2 linked regions of the Schizosaccharomyces pombe genome follow. Each later gene encodes a partner of the first gene's protein in a complex. Each region holds a gene or a part of one and is shown in the gene's direction. Other genes may lie near its edges.

Region 1 (4,679 bases):
TTCGGGGGTATCACGTTCACCGATCACTAAAGGACGAATGCCATTGGGATCACGGAATCCCAAAACACCCAAGCCTGCGATCATAGCAACACATGCATAACCACCATTAACGCGATCGTATACATTACGCAAAGCTTCGAAAATATCATTTTCGTTTATACGAAATTTATCCAACCGTTGAAGCTCGTAAGCAAAGATGTTAAGCAAAAGCTCAGAATCAGATCCAGTGTTTACATGACGATGGGCCTCAGTGTCCAAAAAGCGTCGTAATTCGGGTCCATTAATTAAATTACCATTATGGCCCAACACAAGACCATAAGGAGAGTTAACATAAAAGGGTTGTGCTTCAGAGTGAGCACAACTTCCAGCAGTAGGATAGCGCAAATGACCAATACCCATACTACCTACGAGTTGGCGAAGTTGATGCTGACTAAAAACATCGGCAACCATGCCGGATCCCTTGCATTGGTAAAGACGACCTTTGTTTCCAGCGGTTACAATACCGGCGGCATCTTGACCCCGATGCTGCAAACTGTAAAGACCCTCATAAATTTCAGGACATGCCTGTTGATGAGGGTCAGCAAGCATTAACGCCAAAATTCCGCACATTTTCTAAAACTTGTTAGAGCTTCGGTTGTGAATTGAATACAAAAGATAATAAAATGATAGGTTTAAATGTACAAAAGAAAAAACAGCACCCAGTCAAATTGCTATAACTTGATTAAAATAATATGAGTCGGACTGTTCTATTCGGACAGCAATCAAAGTTTGAGAATACTTGGAATATAATTTCAATTTTTTTGTACCGACCGTAAAATGAGTTGTATGTTACCATCACAGAAAATAAAAAATTTTAATCAATTAAGCAGACCTCAGAAAACCTTGTAGCTACATAAGATGAAATTCAGAAGTCTAGCATCTAAATAAACGGTAATCATCATAGGCAAGTACTGCGGCGTTGGAAAATCAATATCTATATTAACTTACTTTTTAAAACGCGTACGAAACAAAAAAAAAAAGATTTTCAGGTACGCGCTGAACAAACACCGTAGTTGGGTATATTGTTAAGGCAAAATTTTGCTGCCGTATAAATTAATTTATTGTCCGCCTTAAATGATAGTGAAGTATGAGTCGAAACTATGACTGCTCAAGATTGTGATGAACGATTCGCTAAATAGAAGCTTAAAGAGAGGTGGGATATGCGCACGTTAATATAGGTAACAGGTATAGCTTGCTACTTAGCTGACAGGGTAGATGATATTAAATTGTTTGCTATTTTTGTTGCCAAAAAAAATTTTTTAAGCTTAAAAATATATCTTTAAATAAAACCTTCTTATATCAAAAAAAATTCGATGAAGTTAAGAGTGGTGCAGTGTTACAGTAATGCCGCATACACATCAACTTATTATTGAGCTTTACCGGAGGTATCCCATTACTATTTATTTGTTATAAAATCTTTCAATGTTCTGGTTTTTCTTCCTTCTTTACTCGGTAGTTAACAACAATACATTAATCACCGAGATGAGAGCTATGGGTAATCTAATCCAAAACTTTTAGTTCAACTTGTTACGATTGCAGTAGTCCAATGGTTTTTAAACTTAAAAAACTAATGAAAACAATACACAATGTACTGTATCTCTAATCTTCTGATTCCTCAAAATAATAGTTTACTAACCGGCTTCAAATATTTGTTCCTTAATTGGTGTACAGAGGATCATTTTCTGAGCGCTTGATTGATATTTTTTACTATCGGATTGATTATAAACCAGGATCGCGAAAACGTACCGATTTATAAATCGTTGATTATTAAAACATCTTTTTTAATATTGCACATTAAACAAAATTACAAGTGCAAAGCAATAATTAGTTTTCAAGCAGCTCCACATTTTGAGTTGGTAAATCATTTTAAAAAAAAATCATCAATAGTTCATATTTCATGAATACATTTTTCTAAACACAAATATAAATTCAGCACATTTTTATTTCAGATAGTGATGTGTAACGTGTAAACTTTTGGCTCGTTAGTAGGGATCTAGGAAAGTAAGGTTTTCCATCTTCATCAAATATTGGCGTACTGCAAAAAAACCCAATAATTCGTCTTCTATCAGGTTATAAAAGATTTTGGCTTCAAAGCATCCTTTTAGGTAAAAACCTTTTGTAAAAGCATCCAACGCCTTGAAGAACAACATCTCACAATGTCGTTGTATGAGCATGCTGCACTTCCTTTAGCCAGTAGCCCTTCAATCCTTGGACCTATTTCTGGTGGACGAAATCGGGGGAATATTCAATTACAGTCTATTCCGATTGAATTTCAAGCTGTTGTTTTTGCAGGATTTGGCAATAGGTAAAACAAACAAGTGTAGTACTGACTACTTAACGATTTGGATAATGATGACTTCGCACATATTATCTTCATCAACACTTAAAAAAGATAAAATAACAATAAGAAAATACTAACCATGTTTTAGTTTATATCCTTTGACTGGAAGCGATGCACTTCCCAAGGCTTTATTACCTATCGGCAATAAACCGATGCTTCACTACCCATTATATTGGCTTGAAGCTGCTGGATTTACTTCTGCTATTCTTATTTGCATGGAAGAAGCGGAAGCCCATATCAATGCTTGGTTACGATCTGGCTACGAGGGACATATGCGTATTCACGTGGAAGCACCGACTATTTTAGATGATTCTAAAAGCTCTGCCGATGCTCTTCGTGCTGTATCCCATCTTATAAAGGTATGATTTATTTTTATGTATAAGTAGATATGCATGTGTTCTTAGACTTTTTGATCTTTTCTCTCTCATTCTGCAATTTAATTACTCGTCTTAAAGTCACAAAAAATGCTAACCGATACCCACCAGAATGACTTTGTGTGTCTCAGTTGTGATAGTATAGTTGGTCTCCCTCCCATATACGGTTTGGATAAGTTTCGCCTTGATAACCCTTCAGCACTGGCTGTATATAGTCCAGTGTTAAAATATGAGCATATTACAAGTCAATCTAAAGAGATTGATGCAAAACAACTGATTGGAATTGAAGAGAAGACGAGCAGACTATTGTATGCCAAAAGTTCCGCAGACGTGGGCAGTGATTTTACATTTAGAATGTCTTTGTTGTGGAAACACCCAAGGGTTACGTTAAATACAAACCTTTCGGATGCCCATATATTTGTATTTAAACACTGGGTTATTGATTTGATCCGGGAGAAAGAATCTATTTCTAGCATTCGTGGAGATCTCATCCCGTATCTTGTTAAATGTCAATATCAGAAATCCTTTACTGTACGAGAGAACATTCAAAGATGTAAGTGCTTTTTTTAATTAACTATTTTCTAACAATTAAAGTTTTGTCATCTCCTAACAATATTGATAATTATGATGGGGGATTATCCTCACAGGAAATTAAAATTAATGCTTTAATTGCCAAAGATGGGATTATTTGTTCTAGGGCTAATAATTTACCTAACTATTTCGAACTTAATAAATGCGTATGTTTTCGAAAGCTGAGCTTCATCTCGCTTTTTAGCAGTTTCATCCAATATCTCTAACAGCAAACTAGATCGCCAAACTTACTCCAGAACAACGCCTTGTAGATGTCACCGTGTCCGAAAGAGCACTGGTCGGTGCCGATTGTATGGTGAATGAAGGTACCACCATTAAGGATAACAGCAACATTAAAAAGAGCATTATCGGTAAAAATTGTGTAATTGGAAAAGGGGTAGTGGTCAGCAACTCTATTTTGATGGACAACATTGTTGTTGAAGACGGAGTACGTTTAGAATCTTGCATAGTCGCCTCAGGTGCTCAAATAGGCGCTAAGTCAAAACTTCGTGAATGCGAAATTGGCGTTGATCATCGCGTTGAAGCTGGCCGTATCGCTCGGGGTGAGCGGCTGGTTGATATGGAAAAAATTGAGACGGACATGGACTAATACTGTGTATCAAACCGTTGTCAGCCAACCTTTTTTTTGAAATAGATATAATAAAAATTTCGTGCACTTACTCTACAAAGTGTGTCTAAACTAATCAAGGTAAAGGTGATATTAGTCAGGAATTTTTAGATTAAAAATATATACTCATAGATCAATATTAGCTAAAAGCGAAGGGGAATAAATTACAGATGAAAACGCATGTACATATATATGCAAAAAAGTTATACATATATACAAGGTTATACACATATACATCTAAAAAAGTTCATATCGCTATGGGTTAGTAATAACTCGAAAATATTTAAAACAAATAAAATAACCAAAAACTTTAGCACTCAGCGATCTTGGTGATAATAAAAGAATCATTTATTGATCATAAGCAAATATTTCATCAATTGCAAAGCAGAACGGTTATTTGTTTTGAAAATTAAATTGCCTTACCTAACGTTCATAAAAAACAGGACGTTCTTTAACTCCATTATTATAATATTTAAAACTTAAAACAGTTAGCAAGGTATTCGTATTAACAAAAGCAGTTGATGTAATGGAAATCAATCAGAAGATTATTTGTCGCATACTGATGGAGCCCATATGGGAATCAGGCAAGATCCCGAGCAATACCATCGCTCAATCGCAAATTATAGTCATCATACAAAAATATCCAAATAACATATTAATTTTACTTACCTAAAACTGGGTGTTATTAGAAACAGCTACATTACATATCTCACACTGGTAAGTGAAA
Region 2 (4,292 bases), 3.7 Mb from region 1:
GTCCATTAAGACTGATTTTATATCGATATGACGTTGCGTTATTACGCCTTAAACCCTTTTTAACATGGTATTTGTCGACCGGCACTAAAATGCTGCGTAATGCTTCACTAATCGATCTTGGTATGTACAATCCTAAACGTAGCTTAATTCTAGTGTTAAATTGTTTATAACTTAGTCACAGAGAAACTGAAAATTCACGAGCATTACCCTTGTAGTATTAATCTAAAGAAGTAAAATCTTTGCTATGGAATCCTCTGTCGTCTCTCCATTCTTGAAGGTTTCAAGCATGATTATTCAGACTAGTTCGTAGCATGCGTATATAATAATAAATTTCACTATTAGCTTACAAGTTAACGCTCTAAATCTGGATAAATAAACACTGTGCATCCATCTTGAATACTTCAATAATGACCATTCTCCATAGCTTTTTATGACTTATATTATGAACATGACCAAAAATATAATAATAAATACAATATGGACTTCATTTTAAAATTCCAATGTTTTTTAAACGAATTTGACGCTCAGCTCTTTCTTTTTTACGTCGCACCGTGGTTTTATGCTTCCTACTTTTAATATGGACATTGAACGCATCTTCTCCTATTACAGTGAATGGATCACCCCGCTTGTCTAAACATTCCTCGCAAACGAACTTCTTTTTCTGAGATTGGCGACCGTTCATTATGGAGAGATAATCTCTGGCTTTTTCGAAAGCGTGCTGATCATCAGCAGATGGAGCAATGGCATCGCCATTATAAAAAAAATATTGAAATACTCTACAAGCCTTTTCAACTTGCTCTTCCCAATTGTTCAAGTCCGTAGTGTTTGTGGTGGAAAATAGAATTGAAGAAGGGGATAAATCTTGTTGAGCCAAACACATCGGGAGGAATCGACTTTGGATCCATTTCTTCTGAGATTTTGCATACTGTCTAGTAGAAACCTTCATTCGTTCTAAACAATCATTAAAGACTATATCCGAAGGCGCTTCAAACCATGGCATGAATTCTTTAAATCCAATACATTGCCAAATCCCACGGGTGAAATCAGGAGAAAATTTTTCACTTTCAGCAAGACTCTTCATGCTTTTTATTTCATCAACCAATCCATGGCTTAGCATTTTGTCAACACGTTTATCAAGTCGCGGCATTAAGACTAAAGAATCTGCGAACGCCCAAAATATTAGAGATTTGTATCGAAGTTTAGAGCCACTTGACTTCATTTTTTGCTCAGAATAAATTTCAGATGGCGGTCGACCGGTGTGAAAATATATCTCTAGGCTTCTTCGAATTTTACGAGTATCCCGAGGATGCCATTGCTCAGCCATCACGGGATCTATCTTTTTTAAATACGAAAGCATAGCAGATGGATCATCATCCAAGATATGAGAGTCCGGATGGGGTGGCTTACTAGGTGATGAATCGTTCGTCAATTTATCAATAGCCGACAAAGTAGTATCTTCAAACAAAAGGGACTGCAAATAATAATGAGTCCCTCCAACCACAATAGGTATCTTTCCTTGACTGTGAATCTCGTCAATTACGCGGGAGGCATCTCGTTCAAACTCGGGAACACTGTATTCTTTGTCAAAGTTCAAGAAGGACATCAAGCGATGATGAACATTCTCTTGCTCTTCCACAGTAATTTTATTGGTTATAGTATCAAATCCCCGATAAATTTGCATCGAGTCAGCATTAATGACTTGGCTTCCAAACCGTTTCGCCAGCTGAACTGCTAAATCCGACTTACCAGCTCCTGTAGTACCGATGACAACGCAAAGGGGCTTTAACATTTTATAAGATATAGATTTTTACCTTATCTTCAATAGATTACACACCGAATCAAGCTTAGACTAACAAATCCATTTCCCAAATTTTCCCAAGCAAGCCTGGCTCTTTACCAACTGATTTTACCTTACATTTTGTTTTGGTTCACTATCCCCGTTCCTTTATTGCGGCGTCAACTTCGGTATATGCTTTAACGATGTTTTAATTACTGTAAACAAGTTATTACATTTTTACAGCGTTCGTATTTGTTCGTTATTAACATGTAAACACTACTTGTCGTTTCCCATCGCCTGAAAATGTCAACTATTAATGTTGAACATACCTATCCGGCTGTAAGTAGCTTGATAGCAGACTTAAAGTCAAGAAAGGTACAAGGCCCCTTTGCAGTTGCCGTTGAAACGGCGCTGGTAATGAGACAAGTGATTTCTCAAACTCGCTGGTCAACAGTTGATCAATTAATTGATACAGTCCGTGCTGTTGGATCTACTCTTGTCAAGGCTCAACCTACTGGTATGTATTTTGAATCATATTCTTTTATTGTGTTACATGCTAAACCGTGAAGAATTTTCTTGTGGAAATATTATTAGAAGAATTTTACGCTTAATCCGCGAAGAATATCAAGAATTATTAAAGACTGCTGATGAAAATGAGAAGTTAATCGTTTCTTCATCGAACTCTTCTAGCCCTTCTCAAAAAAGAGACATTCCCTCTAACGAAAAATTGGTTCAAAGTCACGAACCTGTTTCAGTTCAGATGTACTCTTCTATGCTTAATTTATTAGGTCGTCCTACTCTTGAGTCTCCCACACATAGTAAAACCGTCGGTGACAGTAGGGTCACCGGTGGCATGGATATGCGCGCTGTGATCATATCTGGCATCCAAGATGTAATCGATGAGTTGGACAAGATTAATACTGATATTGAAGTTCAATCAATGGACCATTTGCATTCAAAGTATGGTGTCATGCTAAACATCTTATCAGTTAGCTAACCTTTTTAGTGAAATTATTTTAACTCAGGGTTGCTCAAAAACTGTTGAAGCTTTTCTCCGTTTTGCCGCAAAGAAACGCAAATTTTCAGTGATTGTTGCAGAAGGATTTCCCAATAACCAAAAAGGTTCTCATGCCATGGCAAAGCGATTAGCTCAGGCTGGTATTGATACAACTGTTATATCTGATGCTACGATTTTTGCAATCATGTCACGCGTGAATAAAGTTATACTTGGTACGCATGCAATCTTGGGTAACGGAGGATTGGTAACCTATAGTGGAGCCCAATTAGTTGCTCAGGCTGCCAGGCACCATGCTACTCCCGTAGTGGTGTGTTCGGGTATTTATAAGCTTAGCCCTGTTTACCCTTATGACTTAGAATCCATTATCCAACTGTCTTCACCTGATAAAATTATGTCCTTTAATGAAGGTGATCTAATAAGCCGCGCTGAAATTTTAAACCCTTACTATGATTACATCCCACCAGACCTAGTAGATCTGTTTATTACCAATTTGGGTGGCTATCCTCCTTCCTACCTTTATCGTATTATGAATGATACTTATGATGCAAGCGATACAATTCTTTAAAGAGTTTGCATTCTATTTTCTCTTGGAAAATTGATTACCTATTAAATCAAGTTTATCAAATTTCTTTACACGTGTTTAGGTAAATATTAAAATTTTGGAATAAATAACATGGGTTACATTAGATTGAATTTTTTTAACTGTGGGTTTCTGTTGCAAGTAATACAGGCAATTAACTCAGCAAAATAAAACTTTGAAATTAAAGTAAATGGACTATGAATTTTAACGAGTTTCCTTTCATTGTCTAATGATTTGAAATATGCAGTAATTAAAAAAACTAGGGCCACTAATATACAAACCAATTTGATTACTTTTCCCTTCGTAAACTGCTTTGCACTTCCATCTCAATGTCTTTGGGACTTGCTTGTCCTCGAAGCTCTCTCATCGTAAGGCCAACAAACCACTTTATAAGGGAAGTTTTACCATTTTTCAACTCTTCAAATTGTTTTGAATGTTTACTAAGAACACTTTCTACACAAGCTTTTATTTTCTCGGAATCGCCAATGGTACCAAAATTTTTTTCTTGGATGAGAGTAGATATAGGTTTCGATGAAGGTGATTTTATCAATGAACGAAGGAAGAGTTTAGCAGATGCAGCTGTAAGTTTCTTCTTGGAAACAAGAAGTACAATGTCAGCCAATTGCAAAGGAGGAACGATATTGATGTTAGGGGAAGGGTCAATTTCACGAACTTTTCCTACTAGTTCCACAGTGATCCAGTATGGAAGGGTACGTAAAGCATCCTCTTTCAAAGATTGATTTACATGGCTTATAGAATCGATATGGTGGTACGCATTTCTGTAGTAGTGATAGTATTCCTTCACACTTAATAATGTACGGGCCTCTTTATGACTAATGGCATGAGAACCCGTTGTAAGCTTTTGGAAAAGTTCGTCAGGCAGAGCAGGTAATGATTTTAAGACAGAATTCACATAA

What was found.
Region 2: tif223 (region 1) and tif222 share a complex: the UniProt entries of both Schizosaccharomyces pombe proteins name them as parts of the translation initiation factor 2B (eIF2B) complex.

What each region holds. Positions count from the first base shown.
Region 1 is NC_003424.3:5,365,353-5,370,031, forward strand, and holds tif223 (translation initiation factor eIF2B gamma subunit tif223), read left to right. Parts: upstream 1-2,052; 5' UTR 2,053-2,195; coding exon 2,196-2,344; exon of another isoform or gene 2,345-2,413; intron 2,414-2,468; coding exon 2,469-2,739; exon of another isoform or gene 2,740-2,862; intron 2,863-2,865; coding exon 2,866-3,307; exon of another isoform or gene 3,308-3,348; coding exon 3,349-3,491; intron 3,492-3,562; coding exon 3,563-3,934; 3' UTR 3,935-4,026; downstream 4,027-4,679. Other genes in the region: amidophosphoribosyltransferase Ade4, read right to left, coding at 1-609. UniProt on the Schizosaccharomyces pombe protein: Acts as a component of the translation initiation factor 2B (eIF2B) complex, which catalyzes the exchange of GDP for GTP on the eukaryotic initiation factor 2 (eIF2) complex gamma subunit.
Region 2 is NC_003424.3:1,671,444-1,675,735, reverse strand, and holds tif222 (translation initiation factor eIF2B beta subunit), read left to right. Parts: upstream 1-2,059; 5' UTR 2,060-2,080; coding exon 2,081-2,294; intron 2,295-2,346; coding exon 2,347-2,737; exon of another isoform or gene 2,738-2,755; intron 2,756-2,783; coding exon 2,784-3,360; 3' UTR 3,361-3,539; downstream 3,540-4,292. Other genes in the region: tit1 (tRNA isopentenyltransferase), read right to left, coding at 485-1,789; glutamyl-tRNA amidotransferase beta subunit Gta2, read right to left, coding at 3,665-4,292. UniProt on the Schizosaccharomyces pombe protein: Acts as a component of the translation initiation factor 2B (eIF2B) complex, which catalyzes the exchange of GDP for GTP on the eukaryotic initiation factor 2 (eIF2) complex gamma subunit.